4 linked regions of the Drosophila melanogaster genome follow. The protein of the gene in region 3 interacts with the protein of the main gene of each other region in a pairwise test. Each region holds a gene or a part of one and is shown on either strand. Other genes may lie near its edges.

What was found.
Region 1: the proteins of mmd (region 3) and CG42726 interact in a two-hybrid assay, tested with the Drosophila melanogaster proteins (one large-scale study listed by BioGRID).
Region 2: the proteins of mmd (region 3) and phu interact in a two-hybrid assay, tested with the Drosophila melanogaster proteins (one large-scale study listed by BioGRID).
Region 4: the proteins of mmd (region 3) and TwdlE interact in a two-hybrid assay, tested with the Drosophila melanogaster proteins (one large-scale study listed by BioGRID).

Annotation. Positions count from the first base shown.
Region 1 is NT_033777.3:15,346,483-15,350,908, reverse strand, and holds CG42726 (uncharacterized protein), read right to left. Parts: upstream 2,862-4,426; 5' UTR 2,791-2,861; coding exon 2,467-2,790; intron 2,408-2,466; coding exon 1,406-2,407; 3' UTR 1,207-1,405; coding exon of another isoform or gene 571-1,206; 3' UTR 518-570; downstream 1-517. Other genes in the region: Trs33 (TRAPP subunit 33), read left to right, coding at 1-57, 126-515; CG42727 (uncharacterized protein), read right to left, coding at 571-1,206; CG31301 (uncharacterized protein), read right to left, coding at 2,997-3,219, 3,284-3,445, 3,504-3,700, 3,757-4,115, 4,226-4,426.
Region 2 is NT_033777.3:9,492,989-9,497,278, reverse strand, and holds phu (phurba tashi), read right to left. Parts: upstream 2,479-4,290; 5' UTR 2,392-2,478; coding exon 2,337-2,391; intron 2,276-2,336; coding exon 690-2,275; 3' UTR 556-689; downstream 1-555.
Region 3 is NC_004354.4:15,970,031-15,974,849, forward strand, and holds the start of mmd (mind-meld), read right to left. Parts: upstream 3,038-4,819; 5' UTR 2,175-3,037; intron 1-2,174. Other genes in the region: Or13a (odorant receptor 13a), read left to right, coding at 4,395-4,747.
Region 4 is NT_033779.5:7,857,450-7,862,867, forward strand, and holds TwdlE (TweedleE), read right to left. Parts: upstream 3,391-5,418; 5' UTR 3,252-3,390; coding exon 3,234-3,251; intron 3,153-3,233; coding exon 2,932-3,152; intron 2,672-2,931; exon of another isoform or gene 1,476-2,671; coding exon 1,121-1,475; 3' UTR 508-1,120; downstream 1-507.

The sequences.
Region 1 (4,426 bases), on a different chromosome or scaffold from region 3:
ATCCTTTTCGATTGCCTCCATGCAGAGATAGTCAATTATTGTCTGGATAGCAATAAGGTAGGAACACGAGGGACGCAAAAAAAAATCAGTCATACAACCGATTTTGATTTGGTTCCGCCTATTAGGAGCACGACCTGGCCACTTTGGAGTATATAGGCTTCACCACCGGCTACCGCCTGATTGAGCGGCTCACCCGTGAAGTTTCGCGTTTTAAGGACGAGTTGGAGACTATGAAGTTTATATGCACCGACTTCTGGATGCTTATATACAAGAAGCAAGTGGACAACCTGAGGACGAACAACCACGGAATGTACGTTGTGCAGGACAAGGCTTTCCGCTTTCTGACTCGCATCTCGCCGGGCACCAAGCAGCTGGAGCACGCGCCCAAGTTCGTGGCCTTCACGTGCGGGCTGGTGCGAGGAGCTCTCAGCAATCTAGGCATTAACAGCACCGTGACGGCCGAAGTGCAAAGCATACCCGCCTGCAAGTTTCACATAGAAGTGAACAGGAACTAATTAGGATGTAAGGCAATGGTTTATTACTACAATTATAGAGATACTACAGACTAGACTAGGCTATCTTTTCGTAGAATGCCACAATGTTGTGGTCAGTCCAGTTAAGGCGTTCTCGCAGGATCCACTGGTCGATGGGCAGTTGGGGCTGGGCGGGATTGGGATCTGTGTGGATTCCCAGGGCGGGCAATGGTCCAATCAATATAAGCCACTTTCCTTGATACACATTTAGATAGTCCAGAAAAGCTCCTCGATTGTTGAAGTAGCAGAAGAGCAAGGCACACGGATGAACGTCACTGCAGCATTTGGTCAATAAATCCGTATCCAGTTGGCTGGCATCCTCTAAATAGTTAAGCGGTATAAAACTTCGAACGGAGTACTTGCTCTGCCACCAGTTGCGATCGACCTCCAAGCCAAACATGGGGACTTTCCGACCTCCAGACACTGTCATAAGCCATTCCAAAAGCCCACTGCCGCAGCCGATGCTCAAAACTCGCTGGATGTCGTGCATGGCTAGCAGCTGATTAAAGTAGTCCAAGTCCACCGATGTCGGCCACATCCAGAGCAGCTTGCGCTTGAGCTGTTGGTCCAGGCAGTCGCCCAGGACAAGCAACTTGCGCCAGTTGCACGACGCATCATCAGTTAGGTAATAAATTTCACGCAGTGTCTCGAGTTCCGATTGCTCGTCCATCATATTGAATACTGTTAGTTGCAAATTAAGCGGTCTTGCTGCTTCCGATGGCCGGTGAACTTGGCAGTGACGCCGGCACGCGGAAATATGGCTAGCGGCCAACAAGATTGCTGCGGTTCGCTTCGGTTCGCAGCACCTGACTGATCTCTAATAAATTAGAGGACCCCTTTGAAAAAGGGCCAACTCATTAGAGATCATATCGTCACTTTGTGTTTTCTTCTTTTTGGTACCAATATTTGAAATTCTTGCGCCAGTGCATCTCGCTAAATTTGGAGCTACCTTGCCCCGGGACACGCGGCTGGTGATGTTGCATGGCTGGTTCTTGGGCATCGGGGCTAGGTTCGCTAGAGTATTCCTCGTTGTCCAGATCCAAGATGATCTTGCGATACAGCTGGACATTCTCCTCTGGCATTACATCTGGCAGAGGCAGATGCTCTGGGACAGCTTTCCCTTTCTCCATCTGCAGTTCAGGGAGTTGAGATGGCAGTGGCGTAGATTGCAGCAACATCACTGGCTCAACGTTGCCCACACTCTGGATCACACTGTTGTATCTTACAGTCTGAGATGGTCTTTCTTCCGCCGTCGTGGCCTCCTGAGCACTGGACCTCGGTGTAACCATTTCAACAGTACTGGCAAACGCACAACCAGGGTGCATGGATCGCAGATGTCGCAGCATGTTGTCCTTTCGGTTGATAGTGATGTCACATTGGATACAGCGGTAGCGTTCGGCAGTCTTGTGTTGTCTTAAATGTCGGCCCAGAGCATCCGGATCATTGTAGCTTTTGCCGCACAGGGAACAGGACTGACGTTCGCGATTTGAGTGGCGCTTCATGTGCAGCCGAAGCGTGGTTTGTCGCAGAAAGGACTTCTGGCACACTTTACACATGTGCCGAATATTGTTCTTGTCGTGTTTCCGCAGATGCTGGTTCAAATTGGCCTTGTTCTGGAAATGCTTAGAGCAGAGCTCGCATTTAAATTGCAGGCCGAGATCGCTGTGGATCGCCAGGTGGCTGGCAAGAGAGCTCTTGCGGCGGAAAACCTTCTGGCAGATTGGGCACAAATGCTTCTCCTGGTTGTGGGTAAGCATGTGGCGCTGTAGAACAATTGGTTGCTTGAAACTTTTGTGGCAGACGCTGCACGAGTGTTTTGATTGTTTCTCATGGCTCATTAGATGGTACTTTAAATGTGAACTGGTAGCAAATCTCTGGAAGGAAATCTCAGTCATGAAAACTACACACAGCATAAGTACATGCTGCAACTCACGCGTCCGCACTCCTTGCAGTTGAACTTCTTGAGAAGATCGTTGCCGCAGGTGAGGTGGTAATACTGCTGGGTCCGGCTGCGAAAATCCTTATTGCAGACGGTACAGTGGTAGCCCTTATCTGTGACAATTATTCGCTTATCAGCCGACGTCCTTGCTTGCGTTTCCTGTGTCTCCTGGATATCGACACTTCGTGCAACTCGACATTCCAGGCAATCCGATACATCCGCCACCAGGCAGAGACGACACTTGGTGTGTCCACAGCTGTCGGTGACGAGGCGATTCTGTCCTGTAGCATCGCAGTTGCAGCGAGGACATTTATTCATTGCTAAATTCTAAATGCATTGAAATCGCACATACAGGAGACTAAAATTGCAGCTATGCTTCTTCTTTCTCGCAGCCATTCAGCACGAAACGTAAACAAAGTACACGGTCAGAAATACTTTTCATATATTTTACATCCTTTATATTAAAACTAAGAATAAAGATCTTTTTATAAGAGTACTATGAGCTGAGATTTTGTTCGTCCTGCCTATTCACATACATCGTTCATCTCCAGGTCGGCCACATGACCAGGAAACAGGTGCGCCTTCTGCATGGGTACGTGCACAAAGTAACGATCACAAAACTTGGGGTTCCGCCGAAGCAGGACCTCAGTCAGTATTGTGCCATAGTCGATCTTCTTGGTAATCAAAAGGCGCCGGCTCTCTCCACTCCCATAGCTAGCGGAACGCAAGCCAAATTGTCTGGCGATTCTGTAAAGGGAAATGCCAACATAATAAGCAATTATTTTTTACGATGTGGGATGACGGTGCTTACTGGTGAAGCGTGGTTCTTTCTTCCTTCGAAAACGTGGGCTCAAACTGCATGTCACGTATATCGTCCGATCTCACATAGTTTTCTATAAGCCGTCGGTAATCAGCGAAATTTCCCTTTGGATTTATTAATCCAAGACCATTACGATTGTTCTTTAGCAGATAACTGAAAATATAAAATAAAATAGTTTCGTTTGGTGATACGTTAAAAGTCGAACTCTTACCATACGGGCTCTTCACGTCCCTGCTTCAGTCGCCCTAAGCCACCGCCTGTCCAGCCCATCAGTCGCATCATGCGATATCCCTTGTTGCTGGGGTCCAATTTGGGATCGCACGGACTGTCGGCGGACTCATTGGTGACTTTGATGTTGACGCCGTCCTTGTTTTTTTCCACCTTGATGGTGTCGCGCGTGGCATTCAGCTGTGTAGCGTAGTACCGGGTTTAATAAGGCATACATTATTTCAGAAATTTCATACCTTAATACTATAGCAATAGGACTGGATCGTCAAATGCGCCTGCTTATAGGCAGCTTTCTTGGCCGCCTTAAGGCTCTCCCCCTGTCCTGTCGCTATTACCTCATCATTTACTAATAATTCGGCGTATTTTGTATTATCGCTTAATGGCTGATCTCGGCTGACACGCTCTTCGTACTTGACATTCGCAATGTTGCAGGAGTTTTGCAGGCAGGCTCGTCCCCCAGCCAAGTACACAATGAGCCGACCGAAACGCAGATCTTGATAGAGATCGACTGGATCTCCGCCGCCAAAACACTGGCGTTTTATGTGTGAGCTATCCTCTGGGGAGCTCGTCGAGGGAAGGGGTGGAGCCCGGCGCCCTAGTAGTTGGAATTAGGCATTAGGCTTTGGTCTCTCTGGCTCGTATAGTTACTAGTGATAAAAAGAATCTTCTCTCGCCTATGGGCCCACTAATTGTTCAGTCGTCTACCTTTGGCGCGCTGCTCCGCCGCATCCGACGCCGAGACAAATGTTCTCTTCAGGCGCTGTTCCCGTTTCTGACGGAAATCCGCTGCGATTTCCTTGGACAACTCGGCCACCAAAAGCATCGTCGCGCTTGGATACTTGCAGCCCATGAACTCCATGTTGACGAACGTTTGGGCCAGGCACACCAGCCGGTCCTCCTCAAAAC
Region 2 (4,290 bases), on a different chromosome or scaffold from region 3:
AGTGCCACTTGTGTGAATCCTTATGTTATATATGCAGCCAGAAGGCATTAATTGTAAAAAGATAAATAAAAACAGCACAAAATGAAAATGATATACACTTATACATATTAAAATATAATTTAAATCTGATATGTCCAGCAATTAGCCCCATGTATATTTCAATAAAACCCTAGTCATTAATGTTGTCTGTCCCTTTTATATTCGAAAACATTTTAATTTTATTTCAAATTTGGCGCCAAGTCGTCTGTTAGTTTTAAAATAATTTAACATTTTAGTGTTGGCAACAGTACGCTGTTAGATTTAGTAAAGACAAAAACCACAGTTAGTGCGGATGCAAGCAGTCACATGTTGATATTAGCCAACACTGAAAAGGAAACAAAATTTAAGCAGTTGACACATGTCAATCGATAACCTCCCCGCGTAAAATCGACATTTTGCTATCAAATTCTAAAGTGCAAAAAAGAATCGACATTATAAGATAACCACGGGAACGGACTCTTATCTGCAAATAAATGTCGTATAATATTGGCACAAATAGTAATCGATGCTTTTTTTAGATTTCAATTATTTATTTTAGTATCCCCCTTAAACGATTGCTTATCTTCTAGTGGCTTCTCTCTTAAACGAGAATAATACGTTTGTCGCTTAGACTCATTGTGCTTCACTTAACCTTTGATCCCCGCCAAGTTTCAGCGTGGTCTCCGTGCCACGCCCCCATCCACGCACATGTTACGATCACTGAGGCAAGAGGCGTAACCAAGGGCGTGAGGTATGAAATGCTGCTCGAAAACTCCGGTGAAAAGCTGGGCATACGGTCCACTAGCAAAAACGGCCACATCATCGCCACCGTGCGTTTCCGATTCCAAGGGAACTGTGCTGGGGAACATGAAGTCCTTGTTCTTCATATTGATGGCTCTCAGATTTTTCCTCCGCACAGCGCCGCCTTCCCTGAGGTAGTTACTATCATAGCCCGGTCCATTGGCATAGCTCAGAGTGGCATATGGAAGATCATCCGCCGCCAGCTGTCCGTCATTGATGCCGAAGATATCGTTCTTTCTGCTGGAATAGCCCGCCAGCGACATGGTGTGCGAGTGATCCGAACTGACCACTATTAAAGTGTCGTCCGTACTCGTGTGACTCCTGGCAAATCGCACCGCTTTGTCGAACTCCGCCGTTTCATCGATGGCCCTCAAAGCCAAGGTGTCGTGGTGACCATGATCGATCCGACCGCCCTCCACGAAAAGGAAGTAACCGCGTCCGGCACTCTGGCGCTCCAAGATTTCCATGGCCGACTGGACCATCTCCTCCAGCGTTGGTTGCTCTGCTGGACTAGCATCCAGATGGTAGGCCATGTGGTAGGGGGCAAACAAGCCCAGTACTCGTGAAGTGTGATTGGATAGGTTGAGCAGCTCCCTGCGATTCTCCACATATTGAGCACTGTTCGTGTGCTGGTTCTTCCACTCGTCGATGAGATTGCGGCCATCCAAACGGCGACCAGGCGCTCCACTGGAATCAGTCACGCCTTTGGGCAGGAAATTCTCGCGACCTCCGCCCATTATCACATTAAGTTTCTGACCCACCGGACTGTTTATCAGCTGGGCAGCTGCGTCCGGACACAGATCGGGGTCACCATTGTCTCCCACCACTTCGGCGTCGTTCTCCCAGTTCCGGTTGGCCAGGTGGGCGTACACTCCAGCTGGTGAGGCATGTGTTACGGAGGTTGTGGTAACCAGTCCGGTGGCCATTCCCTGCTTCTGCGCCCAGGCCGCAATGGAGGAGACATGGTGGGCGGCTTGTGCCTGCGCCTGGCAATCCTTGAACTGCACCGCTGCACTTACTCCGATCGTGCCATAGTTGGCCTTGACACCACCCAAATAGGCGGTGGCGGTGCAGGCGGAGTCGGCCACCTGCATATTGGCACAGTAGGTCTTGCTGAGACCCACATACGGGAATTGCTCGAAGGCGAACTGCTTCTCCTCGCCGCCCAAGTAAACGCGACCCGCCGTGATTGTCGGTATGGACATGCCGTCGCCAATGAAGAGCATCACATTCCTGGCCAGCTGGGTGTTCAATCGCAGCTTACTCTCCAGCTGCTGATCCAGTGTTTGGGCCGCCAAACCCTGCCAGTACTCGGCGTACCGCTCCTCTGATCTTACGGCATCAAAAACGATCTGGGGCATGGCTCGCTTGTATCGACCTCCTCCGATTGGATTCGATCCGGTTCCCATAAGCGAGAACACCGGATGCATTCGCCTCTCGGCATCGTGTGAGGATTCTGCAGGTACAGTTGGGTTGGTATTTAGTATTTACTCAGATCTACCTATATAAGAACTTGCCTCCTCCACTGACTAGAACACTCAGGCCGAGAAAAAAGAAGAGCTGCAGCCTCATTTTTCTATACTTTCTTCTGAGTTTTAGAGTTTCTCAGTTTACGAGCTGGCTGTACGCTGCCCAGCACGTTTCCTCCGCCACTGATAGTCGTTAGCACGAGACCTGCGATATTTATAGCGATCGGTTGGGAGGTTCAAGATTTCATAATGCCTTTGCCGCCATCGACCTGATCGCCGGTTGATATGGAAAAGAGTATCGCTGCCTTGGGTTCACTGCGGTTTTGTTTTGAAAACACGGAACAGTGCGCAGTGGAACCTCCTTAAAAAGGTACTTTAGGGCAAATATACAACTGTTATTAAATTCAATTTATTTAACAAGATATACGTCTCTACTATTTTGAATCAAATTTGTTATGAAAGTACTAACCATTTAAGTCTGGAATAAAAAGCAGCTTTGAAATTGGCAATAAATCTTCTGACTAGAACATAATTAGTATAATTTAACGTTCACTTTGTTGTTTAGACTGAAGTTTTGAAGGATAATATTTGCTTCTTTGATGGATTTCGGGTTTTCTTTAGGTCCATATATGCATGATGGCTTACCTTTTTTTTTGTGCACCATAAATCTAGGTCTCTGTGTCAGCGAGTGCCTACTGTAGATGTTATTTGAAGACTGTAGTTTTTGAGCGGCACTCGTTATCAGCGACCGCCGGCGTTGTCTGCCTGCCAGGCCACCCGATACCCCGCCCGCGCGTTCCGCTCGTTTCGCCTGCCTGGCCTGCCGCATCCGCCTGCCTCCTGCTCTTGGAACACGCGAGTGCTTCACGTGATCACTGATTAGAGTGGCTGCGGCTGTGCCTGTTTTCTATTTCGGGCTTCCAGTTAAGTCATAAACGCGGGCTAATTACCCCGCCAGCGAAGATGCTCAACCAGATGCTGAGAAAATCGTTTCAAAATGCGCGCCAAGTGCCGCTGTGACTGTCTGTCCGCCGGATTGAATCTGGCAATTCCGGCGGAGTGGAGATGGCGCAAGCGCCAGCATCAAAACAATGAGCAGGAGTCTTTGGATTGTATCTGCATCTCGCTTGCGCCCACCGTCGGATGTATCTTGCAGTACGAAAGGCCTGAGAGCAAGAGTATCTGAGAGAGCGTATCGCAGAGTATCTCAGAAAGCATCCGTCCATCGGCATCCATCGGTTTTTGGGATGCTGAGCGAGAGCTTCTGCTTTGGCAGCGCGCACTTGGCCAAAATAGTTGTTGGTTCGCATGCAAAACGTTAAAATCGCATTAGCTGAAAAACATTTTTATACCAACGGCGCGTTTTTAATTTTTTCTACACTACAACAACACGAAAAATATATAAAATAAACTAGACAAAGTAGATGGCGAAAAGTAAAAACCAAACCCCGAAAAAAAGCAACAACGAGTAAAACTAAACTTTTAATGTTCAACAGAAATTCATTGCGTATACATAAGTATAAATAAATAAACGCGTGTATATAGAGAAATACATATAATAAATGATAATTCAATAATTTTCAAACAACAAAAAGGTTCGAGCAACGTTCAGTGAATAAAGGCATAAACATAAGTGCTGGTGAAAATCAGGGAAAAAGGGGAAACCAGAAGTGAATGGCATTGATTTTTTTTTTTAAATAGTTGACAGTAACCTAAAGTTGCAAAGTTGTAGGATTCTTGTGCATTCGTGTGTATAACTGTATGAAGTGCAAGGACTGTTGGGATTCTCGATGCGTTTCCTTTTCTTTTTGGGATCAGCAGGCAGAAATATACAAAATGTAATGGTACACGGGAAAATTCATACATAATACAATACAGTAAGTTGCTAACTGTGTTTCGGGCCCCTAAAAGTCGTGTTCGTGCGTTTGTGTTCGTCGGGATTATGTGACTCCTGCGTATACATATCTACAGTGTCGATGGGTAGGGATATATACATATATAT
Region 3 (4,819 bases):
ATCTATTCTCCGGATGGCCACATATTTCCCTCGCTGTCGTGGGCGTCCACGGCCGAAACGGACTCAGAATCAGTCTCAGATTCAGTCTCAGATTCAGTCTCAGATTCAGATTCAAATTCAGAAACAGAATGCGAAACAGAAACCTTGGGCAGACACACCAGACAGCGGCAGCTGACAGGAAAATAAATAAATAAAGGGATGAAAATTAAGGACGCGAGAGTCGTGGTCGTCGGCTGGCTGGCTGACTGGCTGGCTGGCTGGCTCTCCAAAGACCGAATGCGCAGCCTCCGACTAGACGGCATTCCAAAGATGGGAACTGCAGACATGTGTGCGGATGTGGATCTGTGGGCCAATAAAATGAGTTATTCCTCTTGCCAGCCACACAATTTTTTGTCTGCTGACTAATGATTGCACTCATTGTGCAACTTTGCCAATTAAAACTTGATTAAAACTATTCCCGATCAAATGGAGTAACAACAGCACGGAAAGCTGAAGCTCCATCGTATAGTGTTTCCCAATTTATTCGTTTTGACAAAACTTTCATTATTATGTTTCTCAAAAAGTTGGCTCACTCCATGATACCGACAAGTTTTTTTGGCAGTATCTGACTCACTAGCATTGGGCAGCATTTTGTAGTTTTACACACGCAGAAAAGATTTACTCATACAAAGCCGCGTTTTGTAAATGATTTCAACTGTTGTGAATTCTGAATATCCTGACTATTTATTGAACAGGCAACAAGTCAAGCCTTGATTGATTATATCAAATCGTAGGTCATGGCTTCTAATCTGGTGCAGAGCCATAAGTTTGCCACTCGAAGAAAAATTCAAGGATTCCGGAAACTAATCAAATACCAAATGTTTGTTAACAGGATATGAAAAAATAATGTTTTCCCTAGCATAACCAGTTTTAAAAGATTTTTTTCAGTCCGTTAAATGTATGCAAAGAAAACTGTATTGTATTCAAACCATTCATCTTTAGTTTCCCTCACAAGTTCATTCCTTTTTCTTCGTGTGTATAGCAGCATTGTTATTTGACCTAATCTGTGTCTTTGCCCCATTGTTTTGCCGCGTTTTGATTTGTGCCCCCAATAAGTCCATCTGGAGTCAATGTGCTACCAAACGATAGGGAAGTTCGAGCTTCGAAGGATGCGTGGTGGTAGGTAGGGCGATCTAATCGCGGAGCTCTTCTCCTTTATGGATCAGCAAACATTTGGGCGTTGTCACACTCGCGAATGCGGAATTCCGACACCATTTCTTTGATTGATAAACAAATTGCCCGCTGCTTGTTTACTTTACTGCCAGCGCAGATTTCTCACGAGTTAACCAACCATTAAACGAGAACTCACAAACTCAAGGACTCAGCAGGGGGAATCATCCTGGAATCACTTTGCCATCATCTCAAATCCGGTTACGTGTTTCGTTTGGCTGGCATGGGATTATGCGGTGGATTTAATTGTTTAAAAACAATCGAAAGCACTGGGGCACGTTGAGATTTGAATTGCCGTGCACAACTGCGGGTGGTTAGATGGGTCAATGGCAACGCATGCCCAGACCCCCAAATAATTGTGAACAAATGTGTCTTCAGTTGGCGTTGGTGGAGGAGCGCACCATTGCAAGCGACGCTGAAAAAGGCGATGATGTCCTGACACACTTCGAATTGCCAGAGTCCTTTTGCCAAAAAAAAAAAAAAAAAAAAAATTCCAAATTCCTTCGCATGCCAATGGAGCGGCATGGACAGAGAAGGGATGACGAGATGGAGAGACGGTGAGACGTCGAGATGGAGAGAGGATATCCAGATATGCATTGGAATACAAAGTGTGGGATAAAAGCATTTCTGTATCGCTATTATTCATTGGTCATGCGCAGTCAGCCGCGCCTCATTTCCGCTCGAGAGTCGGGAGTTGGACCATATTCGCAATAATAGTAAGTATGTTGGGCATGTGGTGTGTGTTTTGGACCAAGTATACATTTTCCCCTCCCCCGTATAATTACGGCCATAAAGCAATCCAACTATCCAGCTAGCCAAACTATTTCAGTTCCATCTGCCAGAGTTTGGAATCCTTGAGGCCATGTACATATACCGAAATATACTATATATATATATATATATGCATGGGATGTGTAGCGATTTTTGATAGATATAAAATACATAAACGTAATTGCGGTACTCACCAATGGAAATTCGGGAAATTCGAAAAAAATCAAAACCAGAATCCATTGAAACAGTAGTTGGAGAGTAGTTATGAATTATTTGTTATCCGTTTTGCGTTTAAGTTTGCTTTTAAGTTTACATTGTACTGCTTTATGAACACACTCAGTTTGTTATTTTGGCCAAACAGTAAAAAAAATATGCAAAAAATTTTCATAAAATATGTATTTTATGATCTTTTCATCCTTACGCCATCAGCATATACATATACACGCATATATGTGCACATATATAGACATATATATATATTTATTCTATTTTTGTATTTTCCATATTTGATTTGAATGTGCTGATTTAGTAGCCGATTTTAGAGCTGCGTTGCGTTGCGTTTCGTTACGTTACTATATCAAACATTTGATTCTGAGTAGTTATTTGTTGGGTTTTCACATTTTGCCCACCCGTTCGGCATTTCGTTTTTCCTCTTTTCTTTTACTTTTTTCCATATATATATATATATACATATATATATACGCGTATGTATATATATATATTCTAAGTTCACGGTGTGTTGGGATTTGAAAACGAATTTCTTTGTTAATATATATATATATATATATATATATGTATATACTTTTGCCTGGGCTGGTTGTTCAGTTGTGTTTCTGGGGTATTTGTTGGATCTTTTTGGGCGCCGACTCGGGGATTATTCCTCAATAAACTATTGCTCCGCTGGCTGCGAACTATACGGCTATTTCCTGCATCTGCACTCTTTTCTGCTGCTTTCGTATTTCGTTTTGTTTGTTTGTTTGTTTTTTTTTTTTTTTGGTTTTTGTATGTTTTTTGTGTTTTTTGTATTAATTTATTTTATTTTTTTATTGCTGCTGCTGCTTCTTCTATTAAAAACTATCGCCGTGTCTCGTGCCTCGCTAACCGCTTTCCGCAATTGCAAACAACGTTCTAAAGCTCTCGAACACGTCTGCAGGATTTTGGCCAGGCGAAAAACGATTGCCTCCAACCGGAGGCAAACCAGGCAGCCAACCCAGTCGACCAGCCATTCTTCAGTCAGCCAAATACGACGCAGTCGCAGAGCACCGGAATCTCAACTGGGAGATTCCCAATCCCGGCCATCCCATCCCATACCAATATATCTCAAACCAAGCCCAGCCGAGTGGCCACATCTCTCGCTCTCCGCTTCTATTGTCACGTCACAATTCAGCATCTTGGCTCTCTCGGGCTGTGTGGGCCACATCCTTTTGGTCCTCGGATGGATGTTGGTTGGTGTTCGGCACTCAGCCGCTGGCTCTCTCGCCGAAAGTCGGTAAAAAAAAAATCCACTCCTTGGCCCCAACGAGTCTTACAATCCGGGTACGTCTGTTTATGTCCGTTATGTGGAGCAAAAGGGTATATTGTATTCGTGCAAAGGTGCGTAATTGTAAAAGGAAGTGTAGTATACACCTACGCCTCTACATACGTTTCCATCTAGCCGTGTCTGTCTGTCTCTCTGTATCTCTGTCTGGCTGCCTGTCTATCTGGCCGTCGAGATCTTGGCCAGAACAATGGACAGAGAACTGGGTCCACACTGTTCCACGCCACAGATTGGCCACGCCCCCGTCGTCTAATTGAATGAAGCTATATCCTTCTTACGCCCAGCTAGCAGTGACCTGATTTAAATTAACTGGTTTCGAAATGAAGTTTGGGCGAATGAAAGCCTAAAAATAAATACAGACCGCATTGTTAGCCAACATACATAAATGGAAAATCATGGAAAATTACAATGAAATAATATGTATAAGAAATTGAAAAAAAAATATATATATATCTAAAAGTGTTACGGATTTCAGGCGCAGGTTGCATGTTTATACTTTTAGTTTTGCTTTTTAATTTGAATATATTAAATTGAAAACAAAATTGAAATATGTGCACCTGTTTACCTGTTTATTTTTCGAGAGCAAAACGCACTTTGTTCTTCAAAATAAAGCAAAATTAAAATACACACAAGTAGTATAGTTTAATGGATTTCACAGGCACACACCTCCTTGGAAAATGCGTTTGATCAAAATTTCATATTCGGCACTTAATGAGGTGGTAAGTATATGCCTTGTGTGCAAACGCTTTCTAAAATATTTACTGTGCAATTAGGGTAAATGATTAAAAAAGTGGTAATTTTAGGGCGCAGTTGGTAAGCTATAAATGAAAGAAATGCCTTAAGATGTACCTAGTGCTGTGGCATTTATCAGATAGTCATGTTCTATTCGTATCCCTACAAAGCACTTAGCTTTCCCATTCAGTGCGTTTGGCTGAAACTGAATGGTTCTTGGCCATTAACCGAATCATCGAGGCCATGGAGGAGCCAATCCTTATTGGCCACCGCCTACATCGTGTGGGCGTGGTACGTCATTGCATCTGTGGGCATAACAATCAGCTATCAGACGGCCTTTTTGCTGAACAACCTTTCGGACATTATTATCACCACGGAAAATTGTTGCACCACCTTTATGGGTGTCCTGAACTTTGTCCGACTCATCCATCTTCGCCTCAATCAGAGGAAATTCCGCCAGCTTATTGAGAACTTTTCCTACGAAATTTGGATACCTAAGTGAGTCGATTCATTAGGGTTATTATAAGCGATGTTAAATGATCATCGCATTAAACTGCAGAGCATTGAAAA
Region 4 (5,418 bases), on a different chromosome or scaffold from region 3:
ACTAGTATAACGACGTCGCTGAAGAATATGTCTGCGAAAATAAATATTTTACATAGGTTCAAGCGAATCGGATCGAGATATTTGCACATCGAAGACATAGTCCAACAAAATTGGACCAGTGCTTTGAGCGCATGTCAAAAGATGGGAGGTAATCTAGCCTCAATTATAAATGAAGCAGACTTTAATGCTATCGTTTCGCAACTAAGCAAAGACAACACTTATATGATTGGCATTAGTGATCTGGCTGAAAAGGGCGTTTTCATATCTGTGTCCTCCGGAAAGAGAGCACCTTTTTTGAAATGGAATCCTGGAGAGCCACTATACGAACATGTAGATCAGCGTTGCGTTTCTATACATAACGGTGGCATGTGGGTTGCTTCTTGTACTTCTGATTTCAAATACATTTGCGAGGCAAATGAAAATGTATAGTAAACAGATATATATAAATATATGTACACATATGTTAAGACTTGCAATGTGAAACATACAAAAAGAAATCCATCTTGTACAGATAATTCGTTAAACTTTTATTTAGCCATTGATGTTTTGTGTTTTTAACATTATATACTTGAGTATCATTTTAATCTTCATTTTTTTTTGTTGCATTTCGAGTGCTTCGCACATTCTATTTAATGACAAATCGTGTGCGAAATGTGCAATATGAAATTGGAATAAATTGCCTACTTGAAAATGCGTTTGTGATGAAAATCATGTACCACGTATATATCGTTAATCGGTATCAGGATCGATATCTCTATCGATAACTAAGGCTAGCTCGCAGTGAGTGTTTCGAGTGTTTTGTGTGAGTGTATAACGCATCGTTCGCTTAAAGACCTAGACTTAAGACTAAACAAACAATTTGAAACAAACAGCCTAGATGGAAAACATACTTCTCGTACATCAGGTAGAAACAACATCAGAGATAAGAATTACTCATCTATAGGAGTAATAATCCTATGAGCTGGGTGTGGAGAGGGGATGGGGGAGATTCGTTGCTTGGTAAACTTTGTCACGCGTTAAGGTCCTTGAAACAGAAAATAATACAATACACATAAGATATGCAGTTTGCCATGAGTTGGGTTGAGATAAGCAAATCGGTATTCGGGTTGGACTGGATCGCCTAGTGGGATGGTGCCCCATACGAGCTGCTGGGAGCAGAGGGTGCGGGCGGGGCAGCTGGAGCTCCGTACTCGGGCGCTGGAGGCGCCACACTGTTGGGATAGGGTCCGGTCTCCTCCTTCTGGGTCTTGTAGCGGATGAAGTACACCTCCGGCTTGCTGGGTTGGGTGGGAGCTGGCGTTGGGATAATGATCTCCGGCTGCTCCTCCGGCTTCTTGACTAGCACGTACACCAGGGTCTTCTCTTCGTTCTGTGGGAACTGCGGTATTACAGGGGCGGTCGGTACTGGTGGAGATGGCGCCTTGATGAAGACGATCTTGTAGTGCTTCTGCGGAGGTGGCACGTAAAGGGGTTTCCTGGGAAAATATTTAAAAATGTATTTAAATAAAGGTTCTGCTATATCTGTATTTAAGGAATTTCTTAGGAATTCTATGGGTAAAGTAAGACACCACATCCTCATATAACGCAACTTTTTTTGCTTCCGGCTTGTAAAAATTTACATACTGAATAAAAAAATTTCAATTACACACGGCCAGGCTGGAATGACTTTCCACACTTCCTATAACCTTGCCTTGTTGAACGAACAAATACCGCGATGCGGGAGAAAGGAGTTTCTCTTTGAGGTGCATGCAAATGGCATGCCCATAAATGGTGACCTCCCGAAAATGGTGACCTCCCGACAACGTTGAACCCACTGCAGCTGCTTGTCAGTTTTACTAATCAGATGAAGATGATGACTATTGTGACGATGACAGCGATTGTCACAACAACCGCCTCGAGACGAGGGTTTACATAAAGCTACCTATGGTAATCGAGTTCCTGTCCCTCTGCGCCTGATAATTTGCTTGGAAATGGTACTGAGATATATACGAGTACAAGTGCTGCGGCGAGCTTAGGTAACGTTTTAGTCACGGTTTGGCGGTCTGCAAAGCCATATCATTCCCCTCTCGTGGTAATTAACATCGCTTCCAACTCCAATTGAAAACAGACAGAAGACGACAGAAAACATTGTATCAGCGAAAAGAGAGGAAAGTTGGATGGCTTTCGTTTTCGCGGGTATTAAATAATGTTCCTCCTCCGTTTAAGCGACCCTCTAAATACCCTGGAAATGTGGCAACAGCTGTGGAAAAGGGCCCTGAGCTGGATTAGATGATTGCCGGCTGGTCTCTTGCAACATTTGTCTAGTTATTATCTTTGGGAGTTGACGGCACTGCCTGGTTTACGCCGATGAATTGTGAGAGAATCTGCATAAGTGCCTTGGATTATATACTCATAACACAACAATGTGTTTTTTCCCCATATTTTTCCAATCTTAAGTGGAACAAGACAAATAAAGCGAGATCGTTTGTAACCGCTCACAATCACGCAAGTCGAAAAAAAAGTGTGCTGGATAAGGGGTGTGAATAATTTGAACTGATTACGTTGTGAAATGAAAAAAACCGCAGGATGTACGTTTATATTGTACGGCTTATCAGAAGAAATTCTCGATTGTTCACTCACTCACTGTGTTGGGAGTGTAGTGCGATTTCTATTTTGTGAAACTATGCAAAATAAATAATTTTACTATTACTTAAACTCTTAAATACGTATCTTTTGTGATTAAACTGAATGTGTCTAAAATAACATTTTTAAAGATTTTTTCCATTTTTAGGTCTGATATAATTATCATCTAGTATAGACAAAAATTTTAAACGAGTATGCATAGATCCTTTTCCGGAACTTGGTTGAAGAATAGGTTTATTGGGAACCCTATTCTACTCGCGATCTTTGGAACTTATGTTGGCTTAGAGGATCCTTGATCCTGCCACTCACCTGGGTGCCTGGTATTCCGGCTCTGGTGGAGGTACATGGACGTAGACGTGCTTGTGAATCACCGGCGCCTGCTGGGGAGGTCCGTACTGGGGCGCAGGGGCGCCGTAGCCTCCGCTGGGTCCACTTGGCTGGTAGCTGCTGGAGGGGGGCGCACTGTACGAGTCACGAGGCGGCTCTGGACGAGCGGCCACCAGGGCAGCCAGGGCCATGAGGACCACTAACTGCGAACGAGATCGGAGGAGAACACACCATTAAGCGATGTCCATCACGGCCACTTGGTCGGTTTGGTCACAAGATCATACCACACAACTGGAATGCATTTTCGGGTGGCTTATTTCGGGTATATCCGTTTCGGGTTTTGTCACTGCTCCAGGTGGCTAGGTGCTACTGGCTGTTACTGGTTACTGGTTACTGGCAATGTGGTGCTGCTTCGACGCGGAACCTCTTACTGCATGCCACAACGATTGTTGCAGTTTCTTTTATAGCAGCGCAGCGCGTGAAATAAAAATTAAGTAAAATTCAAGACGACGATCAAGACCGCTGCTGCTTTAGCCGCCTCAGCTGCCTCAGCTGCTGCCGCAGTCGACCGAGCAGTCGGCCAAGTTGGCTGAGCAGTTGGCAAAGAGCGGCAGCAGCATGTAGCCATGAAGAAATTGAAATGTTTAAGCCAAGTCCAAAGTTTGGCCAGTCATGATCTGGTGGGGAAACTGAGGCTGCAGCTCCTGGCTGCGATGCAAACGGCGACCGCAAAGCCAACCGAAACTGCAACGTCTGCTGACCGTTTCTTGGCTTTGGCTTTCCTCCTTCGATTAACTACTTCTTTTTCGTGGTTTTTCGAGCATGTGGTTGGTTGTTTTTTTTTTTCTGTTTTTCTGCCCAACTAGGATTATTTTCATGGGGAAAATAAGGAACCTGAAAGGTGCAGTGTATGTATGTAAAATAAAGCTTGAGGCAGCAAGGCCATCAAATAGTTTTTTATGGTTTTTATTTCTGAAGACACTTAGCTGCTGGAATGTAGCTTATTTCAAGGGTCCATTATTTTCAAGGCAAGAAAATAAAAGCCTTTTTTGCGGTAACCTCAGCTTTAACGATTTCCTGCTTAATTTAAGAATATCTGAGAATATCTGTTCTCTTATTATTAATTTATCACGCCTTTTGTTCTTTTATCATTAAAAGAAAATGCCTCTCTTAGCTTAGATAGTTTAATTATTAAAGGCAAGTCATATTTTGTAATATTTAATTTATAAATATGTCTTGTGCATTTTTTTCCCTCGCCCATTTAAAACATTTGTATAGATTCGCTGTAGAGTACAACTCCTTCGAACTGATTGCCAAAGAAACATGGTTTTTCCTAAAATCTCTGATTTCTGTTATTTATATATAAATATATATATATATGTGCTTTATTATATATATGTAGCTAATGTGTGTAAATTGTTATTTTGGTCATTTAGAGGATCCAATCGCAGTGGACTCGTAACCAAGTCTGGACTCTGGATCGGATCGTGTGGCACGATTCACTTTCAATTTCAATGAATGTGGATTCACTCTCATTTAGCCAGCCGTTTTGGGGAATGGGTTGGTATAGTATGGTATGGTATGGTTTGGGATCAGATGGGATGGGGCTAAGCTTTGTTTTGTGCTCTGGAGTGGGACTGAATCTGGTGTTGGTTTTATTTCATTTCTTCATGCTCTTTCGGCCTTTTGTTAGCCAGCTTCTTTCGGTGTTTTGGGTTGTGTTGTGTGTTGGCTTGAGTTGACTTGGCCTGGCTTGTTGTTATTATTATTGTTACTGTTATTGTTATTGTTTTACTGGCTATGTTGCTTTTGTAATTGCTGTCCGCGTTTTGGACACGAAGCTTCATAATGAGCTTCACGCTCTTGTTGGGTCGACCCATCTGTACAGGCATTTTATTTAATTTTTCTCCTCTGGTTTTTTTGTTTTTGCAATATTTTGAATTTCTTCAATTTGTTTTTTTTTTTATCTCTGGCAAGTTTTAGTGTTGTTTTTGGGTTGCTTTTCTTATTTAATAATTTACGCCCCGGCCATGACAATTAGCGTTAGAGAAGAGTGATGGATAAAATTATGATTGGCAAAATGTTTTGCAACTTTTCCATGGCTCATAGCCCCCAAAGTAATAGCTAGCTTTTTTCCTGATTTATGCACATAATCTATAAATGGCAATCAGCATTTTTGCATCGGTTGCAAGCGATCCTTGGCCGCATTTTGGGGCCACTCCTGCACAATCGCTGCCGGAATTTTGCTTTATGAAATGGCATAATCAGTGACGACCAGTGGCGCCAAACGGAGGACGACACCGTAAACCGTAGACCCAGGCACCGAGTAAGATACCCAGCAGCAGTATTGCAACTGCAACTTGCAACAGTTGGAGAGACTCAACTGGAGGAGAGTCACAGAGACAGAGACTGTCACTTTTCCTCTATGGCATCATTTATAATGCCGTTAGCCAAATGGCAGGTTGTGTT